Canis lupus familiaris: one gene and its partners. The protein of the gene in region 3 interacts with the protein of the main gene of each other region in a pairwise test. Links are inferred from orthologs where the notes say so. Each region holds a gene or a part of one and is shown on either strand. Other genes may lie near its edges.

What was found.
Region 1: the proteins of CERT1 (region 3) and ACTL8 interact in binary tests that used the Homo sapiens proteins (3 or more experiments, as listed by UniProt). The two-hybrid records come from large-scale screens. The link is inferred for Canis lupus familiaris from reciprocal best matches to the Homo sapiens genes CERT1 and ACTL8.
Region 2: the proteins of CERT1 (region 3) and RTN4 interact in binary tests that used the Homo sapiens proteins (3 or more experiments, as listed by UniProt). The link is inferred for Canis lupus familiaris from reciprocal best matches to the Homo sapiens genes CERT1 and RTN4.
Region 4: the proteins of CERT1 (region 3) and CSNK1G2 interact in binary tests that used the Homo sapiens proteins (3 or more experiments, as listed by UniProt). The two-hybrid records come from large-scale screens. The link is inferred for Canis lupus familiaris from reciprocal best matches to the Homo sapiens genes CERT1 and CSNK1G2.

The regions. Positions count from the first base shown.
Region 1 is NC_049223.1:80,106,339-80,110,652, reverse strand, and holds the start of ACTL8 (actin-like protein 8), read left to right. Parts: upstream 1-1,508; 5' UTR 1,509-1,684; intron 1,685-4,314.
Region 2 is NC_049231.1:57,169,094-57,172,659, forward strand, and holds part of RTN4 (reticulon-4), read right to left. Parts: intron 314-3,566; coding exon 175-313; intron 1-174. UniProt on the Homo sapiens protein: Required to induce the formation and stabilization of endoplasmic reticulum (ER) tubules. They regulate membrane morphogenesis in the ER by promoting tubular ER production.
Region 3 is NC_049224.1:31,067,499-31,071,518, forward strand, and holds the start of CERT1 (ceramide transfer protein), read left to right. Parts: upstream 1-1,168; 5' UTR 1,169-1,286; coding exon 1,287-1,382; exon of another isoform or gene 1,383-1,446; intron 1,447-4,020. UniProt on the Homo sapiens protein: Shelters ceramides and diacylglycerol lipids inside its START domain and mediates the intracellular trafficking of ceramides and diacylglycerol lipids in a non-vesicular manner.
Region 4 is NC_049241.1:57,484,619-57,487,231, forward strand, and holds the end of CSNK1G2 (casein kinase I), read right to left. Parts: coding exon 2,546-2,613; intron 2,482-2,545; coding exon 2,396-2,481; intron 2,327-2,395; coding exon 2,242-2,326; intron 2,137-2,241; coding exon 1,988-2,136; intron 1,869-1,987; coding exon 1,785-1,868; intron 1,699-1,784; coding exon 1,592-1,698; intron 1,499-1,591; coding exon 1,444-1,498; 3' UTR 538-1,443; downstream 1-537. UniProt on the Homo sapiens protein: Serine/threonine-protein kinase. Casein kinases are operationally defined by their preferential utilization of acidic proteins such as caseins as substrates. It can phosphorylate a large number of proteins. Participates in Wnt signaling.

The DNA of each region.
Region 1 (4,314 bases), on a different chromosome or scaffold from region 3:
TCCGTCCTTTACTCATGGCGAGCGCTCCCTCCGGGATGGACATGGGGCGACACTTTCTCTGTGGGTAAACTCACTGTGTCTCCCGGCAACAAGGGGCAACCATGGTTCTCCCTGTTTTAGAGATGAGTGGAGCAAGGCTCAGGGTGATGCGCTGTCTCGCTGGAGACCCACGGTCCTCAAGTGGCCGAGTCGGGATTTGGACCGAGCACCGTCCGACTCCAGAGACAAAGTGGTTAAGAGTGGTCTTTCTCTTCCTCTCAAAATACCCAGTTGTGCTGAACTCACCCTTCTTCTTCTTCTGTTTTTTTTTTTTAAGGATTTTATTTATTTATTCATGAGAGACACACAGAGAGGCAGAGACACCGGCAGAGGGAGAAGCAGGCTCCCTGTGGGGAGCCTGAAGCGAGACTCGATCCTGTGACCCCGGGGTTGCATCCTGAGCCGAAGGCAGATGCTCCACCACTGAGCCAGCCAGGTGCTCCATGAACTCACCCTTCCTCTTTGGTGATGTGAGCTGAGAAAATGCCTGAGAGGAGGCGAGGGGCAGGACAGCGATACCGCGGTGTAGTGCTAGGCTCCTAGTGACCCGACAGTATGTCAGAAGGAAGGTCACCTGCTTCCAGACCGGACCTGACCATGGGGAACTGGAACCACCCAAAGTGAGAGTACAAATGGTGGGCGGAGGGACCACTGAGCTTAGTGAATTGGGGGTACCGTCAAGTTGTTTGACACGAGGAAAGCAGAGTGCGTGATTCGCTCCTGTATTTATTTACTCAAGCGTACTTGTGTATCTACTATGCGGAGATTGTACACAGTGATGACCTGAAACCGAAACTTTGGGGGCTAATTTTTAAGAATTGAGTTCTAATTGATCTGCCATGAGATGCACAGAGCTTAAATATTTTTAAAAAATTATTTATTTATTTGTTCATGAGAGACACAGAGAGAGGCAGAGACACAGGCAGAGGGAGAAGCAGGCTCCCTGTGGGGGGGCCTGATGCAGGACTCGATCCCAGGACCCTGGGATCATGCCCTGAGCCGAAGGCAGACGCTCAACCACTGAGTCCCCCGGGCATCCCCAAACCTTAAATATTAAGACAAATGTCTACACCTGTGTTACCACTGGCCCACTCACGATGGAAGATATGTCCCTCACCCCAGAAAGTGCCCCTTTCCACGGAAACACCTCCCTCACCACTTTGTTTTAAAATTTCTGTCATTAAAAACCAGCTGGCCTGTTCTGAACTTCACATAAGCGGGAATTTACAGAATGTGCTGGTTTTGAGTCCGGCTTCTTTCATTCGACCTAATCATCTAGAAGATGAGTCCACGTATCAGTGGTTCCTTCTTTTTCATTGCTGAGCAGTATTTCTTTGGATGCTGCTTCTCCTCGATCACCATCAGGCTCCAGACCACCCTTCCTGCCCGCTGCATGGAAATGGATCTGGGCCCTTTAAGCTTCCTCCCCCCGCCAGCCTGCTGGGCTGGGTCAGTAGAGGGCGCCCCGGAGCCCATGCGGCAGCTCAGGGCCCTGCTTCCTGGCTGGGCTGCTCCCAGGCTCCTGCAGCTCCCCGGGGCCCGCAGCTCCCCTGGCACCGCTCTGGAGGCGGTTCTGTCGTGAGGTGTCTCACCAGAGGCGGCTTTTGTGGTATCGCCTTCCCCCCGGTGCACGGGCAGATCTCTGGTAAGTGCCTCAGGGTGGGTTTCTAGCAAGTTCCGCAGGTGTGGCACGAGGCCAAATGCTTGCCATGTGGTGGGCCGCAGCCAGGTCTTGTTCAGCAACGTCTGGATGGCCGTCCTGGAGGGAGTGTGTGTACTTTGGGGGACCCTTCCTCAGCTCACGGGCTTTTCCTTGCGAAGTTTTCTTCAGCCTGAGGAGGGGACTCTAGTGGGGGCCTGTGTCAGCCCCGGTGGGAGTTTCTCCTTGAGGGGGAGGTAGCTCAGTCTCATGGTGGGGGGGGGGTCTCTTTTTGTGTGTGGAGGTCTCTATCGGCCCTAGGGCTCTCTTCTTTGAGGCTCTATATCAGTCCTGGGTGAGGGGGGCTCTTCCTCAGCTCTGGGGGGGGGAGCTCCTCTTTGACGGGGGTCTATCTCACCCCCCATAAAACCTCTTTTTGGGTGGTTTTATGCTCAATTTCAGCCCAGGGTAGGGGAATCCTTCTTGAGGACTCTATCTCAGCCTGATGTGGGGGAGGGTCTCTTCCTGAGAGACTCTTCTTTGCGGGGGGGTCTCTCTTGGCCCCTGAATAGGGGGGATTTTTCTTGGGGTCTTTACCTCAGCCCTAGGGGACTCTTTCTTGATATTTCACCTCTGTTGGGGCGGGGGGACCCTCACTCATCTTTGAGGGTCTTACCAAAGCCCCCAGGAGCTGTTCCTGGAGTGAAGGGTGGCATTCTTAGGGGCTCTACCCCAGCCCTGGGTGGGGTCTCTTCCTCAGGGGGCTCTACCTCAGCTCTGTGGGTTGTAGCCGCTCCCTTAGCTGCTATTCTTACATTAATTACAGTTCTCTTTATTCTTTATTAGCCAAGGCCACATTCATTTAATCCCCTGTTAGAAGCTAATTTTTCATGTGGAACTTTCCCTGTTGGAATTACTGTGTGGTTCCTTTTTCTTGATTAGACCCAAACTAGTGTAGAATTGGTGTCAGCAGTGGTACCAGGAGATTGGTCTGCAGAGATGAGATTTGTGGACTGGTTTTCCGTGGGCTGGAACACGGTGCTGAGTGACTTGCCGATGGGAGGCAGGGTGCGCGTCCCCCAAGGTATGCAGTGGCCCTGTAATTAACCAGGCTATCACCCCCAGGTGATTGAGCTGGAGTGCCATCAAGGCACGTCCCTTGGGAGCCAGAGTGATGCTTCCCTTGGCTGCTAATGGCAGTGGTGATGACCATAAGGACTGCAGGGGTGAGATGGATCCTTTTGAGGGCTCTAGAGCTTGCAGAGAGGAGATGACAAGTGCAGGTCCGTTGGCTCAGCTCATAGTCACAGTCCCAGGACTAGAGAGCTGTCATGACAGCCTTTACAGGTCTTATTATTATTATTATTTTTACAGCTGCAGGGCTGGTATTTTCTGGAAATCAAACATAAAATTTAATTGTGTTGGTTGCTGAATTACAACCACAATGGAATTCACATCTTGACAGAACTCTCGTGTGAAAATTAGGGCATTGGTTGGGAAAGAAAGGGACCCTGAAACACAGAACGGGGACATCTGTTGGCCCCCGGTGAAACTGACCATCATAAACCCCACGTGGCTCCAAGCCAACCTCCCCCCCCCTTATTGGAGGTGGTGGCCTTTCCACCCATGTCTGAGGAAGCTGTTTCCCCTCTGTGTAAAAACCCTGTGATGACCTCAGCGGGGGCAGGTATCTTGAGAGGGGTTGCTCATTCTCCTCGAGACTTAACCAAAACTGCCTCTATTGTCACTAACCTCTGACAAGGGCCAAATCTCCGCATGGTGGCAGTGACACACTAGGACACGAGAGGAAGAATCCAAAGCACTGCAGGGCTTCGCTAATACAGGTCAACAGAATTCTGGGGGCCCCGTGTAGGAGTGGATTTTAAGGATTTTAGACCAAAGAGGGCAGGATAATAACACTGTGTTGGGTAGAATTAATTGTCACGGATGCACTTCCTGGAGATTTTGGATTTGGTTATTAGCATGTGCCGCTGGCGATGGCTCTAACAGCTTACTTGGTTGATTAACTGACATTTGGACCCAATAGTGGCCTAAGGTTAATGAAGCCATGACGTCATGATGGGGAAGAGGGAGTCCAAAGGTGTGGGGAGACAGGATTGCTGGGCTGGACGTATTATGTGCGATCTGCACCCCCCCACCCCCCTGCCCACTATGTTCCATAAAAAGCAGCAGAAGACGGCAGCATGGAGATGAGTGAGGGGAGCATCCATGAAACGCTCCATGGCATCTCTCTTTTGCAGGCGGGACATGACTTGAGAGGCTGCCTCCACTGAGATGGGCTCCCTGATTGCAGTGGGCATAAGGGCAGGCCGGAGTTGCAGAGACCAAGGGGCAGCACGTCACTGCCAAGGGCAAGGTGGGCACGTCTCCTGCAAGGCAGCAAGGATGGATGGGCAATCAGAACGCCTGGGCCCATAGGGATTTTGATAGTGGCTAGTAAGTCACAGTGTCCCGGGAATGAAATGAATTACAGCCCACTGCAGTGCTGCTTGATGTATATGACATAAAAAGGTCTGGGTCTGGTAGCCAACGCCTGACGTGCATCGCCAAGACAGCCTCTGCCTCTCCTGCAGTTTCCACGTCTAAGGCAGCTCACGACCTTAGGAGGCCCTTGG
Region 2 (3,566 bases), on a different chromosome or scaffold from region 3:
ACTTTCCTCCATCTTAAATATTTGACAGGATTCTGATTTTTGACACATAGATTTATAGTAACATGATTTCACTACATCTCTGTCATTTACTTTAAAAGAAAAGCAGAATTTTATACTCTACTCTTTTGATATTAAATTCTGGGTATGTCAGAAACGGAAGGCAAATAAACTTACCTTCAGAGAATCAACTAAATCATCAACTAAAAAGAGGCGTCTCAATTCCTTTATCGTGCAGTTCACATGACCAAGAGCAGAATTACTGTATTTCTGAACCAACTCCTCAGATATAGCGACTTCAGATTCCAAATATGCCCTGAAAAACAAAACACGTCCTAACTGTCACTGATCAGAGTATTTGTCCTGGATGTCCAGCAGTAATGTAATTGTAAAAGAAGACATTAGTTAAAATATTTTACCATAAAACCTGGATTCCAAATTAAGCACAATGTGAAAATTCACCAATCGATGCATATTTCATGGACATGCACACGGGCAGCTGATGAGCACAGAAAAAGATCATTTCCTTTCAAGTCAGACTGCTCTGGACTTGATTCTTATACTCTGCCACTTACTTGTCTATGTAACTTTGCAGTTATTAATTATCATGAGGATTCAGTGAGTACAGTGCTTAATGCAAGCAGGCATAAAGAAGCATTCAATAAATGGTAGCTGTTATGAGGGATTTGGGTTTTTTCTCTTTAAGCCGACATTATGCGGTCTCCTTGGGTTTTCCTAACAAAGATCCTATTCATTCCCAAATACTACAGTCTCTCAGCATAACTTTTAGAGGAAACTGCCCAATAGGTCAAGGTCCAGATTGTGAAATGGCTACCACAAGTATGGTGTTAATGCTAGTAAAACATAATAGTTACTGTCCACGTAGATACCCCATTCTATACTAAGATACCTGGAATCGTTCTATTTAGGAAGACAAACTGTAATGAAGAAGAAGAATCTTCGGCAGGAATGCAAGGAACTGTTTTATTAGTTATTATTTCAAAGAAGTCATTTTATCTTGGTAGAGTAGTACCAATTCAGAAATGCTAAGCATTGTCTTCTATCGTTGGAAGCAGCTCCTTATAACCCAGTCTCTCTTCATCACTCCCCGATGCTGGTGGACACTAGTTACTCATCCTGGAAAGAACAGTCATCTGATAATTCCCTGTCCCATGGTTTACTCCTATAATATGTCCCAAATATGTCTCTTCATTTTTACTCACTATGTTATCTCTCTAGTTTAAGTGTTCATTATTTAAAAACTGGAATATTCTGTATCCAAATGAATCACTCATCTGTTTACATACTAATCCATTCCTTTAGTCAATGCCAGGTGAGTTTTATTTTAGCTCTCTTAGGTAGTGCTACTTAGACTGAACTCAGGTAGGAGTTAGAAGACCTGCTACTATCTAGCCATGTAACCTTGCAAAGTCATTTGACTTCTCAGGGTCATGGTTCCCACTCTATAAAATTAGAGAAACAGACCTTCTTAAATATCCAGGCTCAAACCTTCTGTGATTCTATGATTCCAACTTTTCAACCAGAACCCTCTTCAATCTTTTCAACCTAATTTTTTACTACTCACTATGTTGCAGCCAAATATGAGCCATTAATTATTTTTTAATCCTACTACCTTTGTTCATCATACTGTTTTCCTAATCCACAATGCTCTCCTCTTACCTCTAGTAATAGCATATCCAGTCAGTTAGTCCATCTCAAATCCCACCCATCTATGAGGCCTCTTTGGCTCTTTCCCTAAGATCTTATTATGCAATTCTAACAATGCTTTCTTTTGTGGTATTATTATAGCATTAGCCATATCCAGCCCTGACATACAGACATGTGTACACTTGTATATTTTTCCTACTAAAGTATAAACTGTTTAAGACCAAGAAAATATATTTACAATGATGGCATAGCACTCAGACAACTTATTGATTACCAGCAGGTATCCAGTTGTTATTATCAAGTTAAAAATGATCGAATATTCATATCTACCCTTAAATCAGCAATAATTTATTTGTGCAGCTTTGAGAGACACAGAACAGAAGCTGATATAACTTTGAGTTCGTATTCTGCTTCTTTGTACCACAGTTTTTGTTCTTGCAGAAGACAAGATGCCTGGCCAGCAGGCACAGAGTGGCACTCTCCATCAGTGAAATCCCATGGATATTTACATTCATTCAACTAGCATGTATGTAATATTAATGCAATGCCAGCACTGACATCACTCTTTTCCAGAGACCAAAGGTATTAGATATAGACAGGATGGTACCACCTTTAGAAATGTGACTGGGAGAACTTGGAAAAACTGTCCAACAGGATTAGTCTGGCATGTTGGCTGAATTTATAATGACTCTAAAAAAATCCTCTGAAGAATAAAGTGTTTCTAAAAAAATAGGGAATAAGACAGCCACCAGATTTTTCCCAAAAGTCTTCTTTAAAATCAAACGATGTCTCAGATTGATATTGCAGATAATTTAGAAGTTTTGGCTTGACAATATTTTTATATTATTTCAATATATCTAATTAAAAATCATATTCCTGTATGATTTTTGGCATGATATGGCTACCATTTTGAAGCTGCAATTTCAAGTTACTGAACTTCAAATGTTTCCCTCTCTGTGGAAAAGAAGAATACCATCTGTCTCATTAAGTTGTTATGAAAATTAAGTCTGTGCATAAAAGGCCAGGGACATATGAGCCACTCATAAATGTTGGTCTCTCTCCCAAACTTTTTTTTCTCTCCCAAACTTTTATAGCATCGTTACTTCATCAATATGAAGAGAGCTAAATAACCAATCTTTACAATAAGCAAAATAATATAGATTGCAAAGTTTGAAAATTGGTTTACATTTACCCCTTAATATCAACTATATATGTTCTAGGTAGTTATATACTCATTCATGCCCACAGATACCTGCCTTACCAAAATAGTTTTAAAATATTCAAAATCTATTTGAGAAAAAAAATGATGTCTAAATACAAAACAATTAGAGATCATTTCAAAGCCAATAGGAAACGAATTCTCAGCTCATTGGAGCCAGTATTAGGGAAGCCTTCAAAAAGTTACATCTTGAAATCAAACACAGAACCCAATAAAAAGTAAAATAGTTTGGGCAGCCCTGGTGGCGCAGCAGTTTAGCGCCGCCTGCAGCCCGGGGAGTGATCCTGGAGACCCGGGATCGAGTCCCACATTGGGCTTCCTGCATGGAGCCTGCTTCTCCCTCTACCTGTGTCTCTGCCTCTCTCTCGCTCTCTCTGAATGAATAAATAAATCTTAAAAAAAAAAAAAATGTATAATAGTTTAGGTCATCTGAGAAGCTAAAAAGGCAGCATGAATGGGCATAACATCCTAGAAGAGGCAAATGAGAGACAAGATAAAGATATTTGGACTTGATCCTGTAGTGAACAGAAAGCCCGTTTGCCTAAAAATATAAAAGTATCCGAAGAAAATCTGACAACAGCTATAAAAGCTGAAACCTAGGTAACCAGAACCCAATTTGGTAACAAGTGAAGCCCACCCAGAGTAGACAAACTTCTTCTGTAAAGGCCTAGGAAAGAGCACT
Region 3 (4,020 bases):
ATCTCTTCTCGGGTCGCTCGGCACCTCAGGCTCGCCCCGCGGCCCGGCCGCCCTCAGAGCGACGACGTCCGGTGGAGTTGGCGACCGGGCTTCGGGGGCGTTTTGGCCCACAACGTGAAGCAAACCCCAGACTACCATTTCACATTCTCACTTTACTTTAAAAACTCTTCAAACGTCGTTTATTCTCTGATATCTTCAAAATTACTCTCCACAAAATGAACGCTCGGAATCTAACAAATGCAAAGCGCTTGCCCCGGTGAAGCGCGGCACGCACCGAGTGTGAGGCGCGAGATAGGAGACCTTCGGCGGGGGGCGGCCGGGTCACCAGCGAGGTCGCAGATCCGCCCGGCGCGGCGGAGCCCGCCCGCACCCCCGGAAGCCGCGCGGCGTTCCCGGGCCTTAGCAGGCGGCCGCGGAGGGCGAGCCCGGGTCCCCCCCCAGCCGGCGCAGCTTCGTCATAAACACGCCAGGAAGAGACAAGAAGCGCGGCCGCGGGGAAGGATCACACAACCGGTAGACGAAGCCCACCCGCCACTGGACCGGTCCCCCAGGCGACAGCCTTCGGGGCGCCAACACTCACCGGTGGCCTCAGGATCGCGACTACAACTCCCAGAAGGCCGCGCGCCCGACGCAGCAGCGCCCTTCCCAGAATGCAGCGGGGCGGGGGCCCCGTCCCTCCTCCCTTGTCCGCTCCGCCCGCCGCTCCGCCCGCCTCTCCGCCCTGCGTACCCGGGGGGGACCCGAGGTAGGGTGCGGGAGGGGACCGCCGGCCCTCGGCGTGCTCCGTCAGACGTCGGAGGGGGCGGGGGAGGGGGACGGGGACGGGGCGGGGGAGCAGGGGAGGACGGAGGGGAGGGGACAGGGGAGGGGTGGGTAAATAGTGGGCCAGGCAGGAAGATGGCGGCCGCAGCGGAGGTGTGAGTGGAGCGGGGCTCTGGCTGGGCTTTCTCTTCCCGTCTTTCCTGTTCCTTTTCTGTTGGAGGCCGGCACCGAAGGGGCTGCGTTCGGGTGGTGGCGCCGGGCGCAGCGCAGGGGCCACGGCGGCGGCCGACGGCTGGAAGGGCAGGCTTCCCTCGCCGCTCGTCCTCCTTCCCCGGTCCGCTCGGTGTCAGGCGCGGCGGCGGCGGCGCGGCGGCCGGACTTCGTGCCCCCTGCGGCCCCCCCCCGCGCCGGAGCGGGCACTCCTCCCTTCCCCGCCCCCCGGGCCCTCACCCCGGCTCCTGGGCGCTTCCTCCGGCGCGGCTCGGGGAGCGGGGGCTGGTCTCCCGCTCGGCTGTCGCGCCTCCATGTCGGATAACCAGAGCTGGAACTCGTCGGGCTCGGAGGAGGATCCGGAGACGGAGTCCGGGCCGCCCGTGGAGCGCTGCGGAGTCCTCAGCAAGGTGAGCCGCCCGTGAGGACCGGGGGCCAGCGGCTCAGCCCTCACCTGCCGCGAGGCGAGGCGAGGCGAGGCGAGGCGCGGCGCCGCGCCGAGGGCGTGGGGTGGGGTGGGGCCGGGCTGCCCCGGGGTGCGGGGGTGCGGGTGCGCGGAGGAGGGGCTCGGTGGCGGCGGCGAGCGCTAGGGAGGCTTCGGCTCAGGAGCTGGACTCGGCACGTCCGTCGGGCGCGGGAACCGGGCTGGGCGGCAGAGCTGTGGGAGCTTGCCCGCCGGCGGTGGGGAGGGGTCTCAGGGACACTTCGGTGCTGCTCTCCGCAGTCTTTCCCCCAGTTCAAAAGAGAGCTGTTGGCTTGTCACGTGACGGGTGCAAGAAACACACGGTAACAGGAACAGATCGGAGCAGAGGCTGACCTTTAGTCCAGGAAGAAGAGCGCTGTTAATAATAAAATATTCTTGCTGTCATAGGGCCAGAGTGAGGAAAACCCTTCTTACCTTTCCTGAAGGTTTAAAGAAAACACCCTTTTTCAAAATTTTAGCAAAGCACATAGTTGTAGGACTGGCTGTGAAGGCTAATTAGTTAAAATGGATGAGGCCCTTTTTTAAGAGAAGATGGGTGATTTATTTCTTTTGATAGTACATGGTTTGGGGCTTGTTTGTTCGTTTAGAGTTTTAGCTAAGAGAGGATTCCACATTCTCCTTTTTTACTTCCTTGTTCCTTTCTGTTAAAATTTTAGAAATGGCCAGTCCTTCAGCAAGCTGGTCATAAGATTCGAGATCATGTGCAGCCACTGGCTATTAAGAAACCACCCTGCTTCCAGTACATGTACTTTGGCTAAGCATTTGGATCTTTATTGTGGAGTTGTTTCATATTAGGTTTTCCTGTTATCTATTCAAGGCTGGTGAGAAAGGCGTTAGGTAAAACATAAGTGCCACAACCAAGACCTGCGAGTGTTAACGTTTATTTACACAGAAGAATCATGATGTGTGTTGATACTGGGATCATTGGAATTTCAGTGAAAGGCTTTCCGTAAAGCGAAGGTCGAAGCTCCCTCGGGTTCCTTTAGATTAAATGTGTCTTGTAGTTTTGGAGTCTGTGTTGAACACTTTGTGTCGTAGGTATACGTTTTCAGGTGGAATTTCAAGTGTGTTCTTCTTAATTCTGATAGACTGATCACTTTTCTCATTAAATGAGAAGTAAACATACAAATTAGTATTCTGGTGGTGCTGAGTATTTTACAAAATAGGCTGACCTTTTGACCTACTTGATATTACTATTTTGGAGGGTTGAGGAGTGACTAGTGGAAAGAGTCCTCAGTGCCCTGAGTATTCATGGTTTGCAGAGCAGTATAGTAGAGACAATGTTCTATGACAAAGTATGGAAAATCATCTCCTTGATATTTAAATGTCAAGAAATGTACTTTTTGATCGATTCTATGATGGTTGAATAACTTTTATGTTGCTGCATACATAGAATTAACAGGAATAGTTTTTGGTATTTTGTTAACAGCAATGAAGGAAATTCCCCTGAAATATAACAGTGCATTGTTATACATAATGATTTCTGGAAGCTTTTTAATCAAGAATATTTTATATTGAATCCATGTTTTAAAATTTAAAGTACATATATATTTTGATCTGTTTGTATTCACCTGGTAATTTATACAAGAGTTAAAACTCAGCCTCTGTTCTTTTTCTTCAATTGAGTAATGTAGATAAGTCTCAGTACTAATGTGTTTTGTTTCTGCCCGTCCAAAACGGACTGAATTTGGAATGGGGGGAGGTGATAAACTTACTAGAAATATACCGGTCCAAAAAAAGGAAAGTTGTTTTTTCCTATATGGTAATTTAAAATACATGGAAATACCTATGAAGCATATTTTCTGTGGAATCACTTCTTAAGCATGGAAGTTCCACAAATTCTGGATAGACAATAATTCTAGGTGATTGATAACAAATATCAGGATGGATATTGATGGGAAGAGAGTCATGCCTTGGTGGGACTTGAGAACAACTAAATCTGGATAAAATAAATCTCAACAAGTTTCTTGTGGATTCTCTCCATCCTTCAAGGTTTACCTTATCTTGTATTTCTCTGCACACCTGTTAGCTGAAATTCTGTCTTTAGAGTTCTTTTTTTTTTTTTTTAAGGTATTATATATTTATTTGAGAGAGCGAGAGAGACCGCATGAGCAGGGGGAGTGGCAGAGGGAGAGGGAGAAGCAAACTCCCCACTGAGCAGGGAGCCTGACATGATGTTCCATCCCAGGATCCTGGAATCATGACCTGAGCCTAAGGCAGCTGCTTAACAAACTGAGCCACCCAGGTGCCCCCATCTTTAAAGCTTGTTTAAAACACTATTCTTACTGTGAAGCCTTTTCTTATTTTGCCAATCATTCCATAGTGCCTTCCTTTAAGTTCCCATAGTATTTTATTCGTAACTTGTTCTGAATCTTACTCTAAATGTATTGTTTTCCTTTTGAAATTATGCTTGCTGGACTATTGGGAACAGAAATCTTTGATTCTGCTTCTGTGTTTAGCATATTGCTTTATCTCTGTTAGATAGAGGGAATAGAGGGAATGTTATGAGAAAGGCAAAAATCTGCCTTCTAGGAGAAGCTAACATTTACTGAATAAAGGTCTGG
Region 4 (2,613 bases), on a different chromosome or scaffold from region 3:
ATGACCTCACAGAAGCCTCAGTCTCACAAAGATCCTGTCCCTCACACTGTCCCTCACACTAATCCCACTGGGGTTAGGGTCAACGTGGGAGCGTTGGGGGAACACATGCAGTCCGAGGCAGCTACCAAGGAGATCACTTTTCCTCTGTGCTGCATTCAAGGCAACTCGTGAGGCTGTGCCGGGGCTCCCCACTGTCAGGTGCACTGGAGACCCAAGCATCCAGCTGCAGCTGCCCCCCGTTTCTCCTGGAAGAACAAACCATTTCGTTACAGTTTCAAATGTGCTTGTGTACAGCCAGGCCCAAGGGGACCTGTCTCTTACCTGTCTGTCCTCTCTCACCTGGACTAGGTCAACAGCCGTGCCCCAGCCCCCAAACACAACCAAACCCAGCTCCGACACCAGAGTCCTCGCTTCTCTTGTTCTGACCACTTCTCCTGAGCGTCACCCCCCGAGCCTGCCCCTCCCAGGGACATAAGCATCTGCGCTGCTGCTGCTTCAGCCAAGCCTCTCGGAAATACCGGACACCACACTCAGGAGTGCTTTCATTTTCCTTTATTTTTTTTAAAAAAGCCCCTAAACTCTATGGCTTCCAGGAAGCGTCAGAGAAACCGAAGTGCCATTTCTGTACACCGTGTAAAGCAAGACCTAGACACACACACCGCTGCCAGGCCGTCCCCAGCTGCTCCACCCCGAGTGGCAGCACAGGCCCTCCGGAGGGCCCGAGAGGACCGCACTCCCACCAGGGCTGCCCAGCCCCGGACACACCTGCGGGGCTGGGACAGGGCTTTAAGGCGCTTGTCTCCTGCTGCTCAGCCGGCAGCGTGGAGCACGGACACGACAAGCCCACGAACACCCGGGCACAGACCATGGCTCGAGTGGCCAAGAGGTGGCCGCCCCCGGGGCCCCGGGCCCTGGACACGGCTCCACGAGCAGGTGTGGCAGGAAACCCTGCGGGCTATGCCCGCTGGCCCAGGCTTTGGTGCAGCATTTTGGTTGGGGGGCCGCCCCCACCCCCGCCTTCCCCTGTGGTGCGGGGAGGCCCAGGGCAGGCTCGCCCCCGGCAGCAACGCCCATAGCGTCCCCTCGAGAAAACGGCCTTTGGATCGAGGGAGACAAGCTGGACTTTATGAGACTAACGGGACGGGCTGGCCGGCACGGGCAGCCCACTACTCACTTCAGCAGGCGGGCGGGAGGGGCGCAGGGCAGGGTGGCCACTGTGTTTCTCTTCTCCTTGTTTCAAATAGTTAATGCTCTTGGAGGGGAGGACTAGACACAGGTGTAGAAATTTCGGCCAAAGTCTCATGTGAAGGACGTGACCCCAAGTGGGGGGCGGGCGGCTGAGGCCGGCCCTGCAGTCTGCGTCCTGGCTGTAGGCCACGCGGCAGGGGCCAGGCTCGCCCCGGGGGCTGCGGCAGAAGGGTTCAGGGCGCCACCGCCCCAGGGTCACTTGTGGCGCTGCACTGCTTTTCTCTTCCTCCTCTTGAAGAAACAGCAGCATCTGCACGGGGGGAGTGAGGGGACAGACATGAGAGCGCTGGGTGCAGAGGGGGCCCGAAGGGTCCCCGCGCCCAGCAGCCGCCCGGGCCCTTACTTGGTGTCATCGGCCACCTCCACCTCTGCGGGCGCTGTGATGGGGGCGTTGGAGTGGCCGGCAGTGGGGTCGTCCGCATTCAGCTCCCCGTTGGTGGAGTTCAGCGCCTGGGTTTGTGGGGAGGGCAGCAGGGGAGTCAGAGGGGCCCTGCCCCACCCCCCACACTGTCGGGGTCCTTGGACCGGCCCCTCACCTGGTTTTTGCTGTGTAGCTGGGCTTTGTCCCGAGGCTGAGGCTGCGAGGGCAGGTCGGTGTGGACCGTGCCGATGGGTGTCGGCTGCGGGAGGGGGGGCAGGACGCAGCGCTGAGGCCGGGCAGCCTACTCCCACCCCCCGCATCCTGGGGCCCCACCCCTTCAGGAAGCAGGGCTCTGGGGGCACGGGGACCCCCACGTACCAGGGGCTTTCCCGCCCAGTCGTACTCATAGTCGAACACGAAGCCGCTGCGGTCAAAGAGGTCGGTAAAGAGCTTGCGCAGGTAGTCGTAGTCCGGCTTCTCGAAGAAGTCCAGGCGCCGCACGTAGCGTAGGTACGTAGCCATCTCCTCTGTGGGGAGCAGGCGGGCGTGCAGGGGTCAGTGGGGCCCGGGGGTGGTGGGGGCCGGGCGGGGCGGGGGGGCCGCGGGGGCAGGGGGCGCCCCTCACGCCTCACCTGGGAAGCTCTCGCAGAGCACCTCAATGGGCGTGGCCCGCTTGGTGTCCCCGATCTTCTGGTAGCGCTCCTTGAGCGTGTCGGCCTGTGGGGAGGGTGGTCAGCAGACCGCGACCCGAGGGCTCTCCCCCCGCCCCCCCGGCCCTGCGCCCACCTTGAGCCCCTGCCAGGGCAGGCTGCCACGCAGGAAGTACATGAACATGTGGCCCAGCGCCTCCAGGTCGTCGCGGCGGCTCTGCTCTGCGGGGGGAGAGCAGGTCAGCGCGGCCCCCGCGCCCCCCCGCCCGGCCCGCGCGCGGCTCACCCTTGCCCAGGTGCGTGTTGATGCTCATGTAGCGCGCCGTGCCCGTCAGGCTCTTGTGCTCCCGGTAC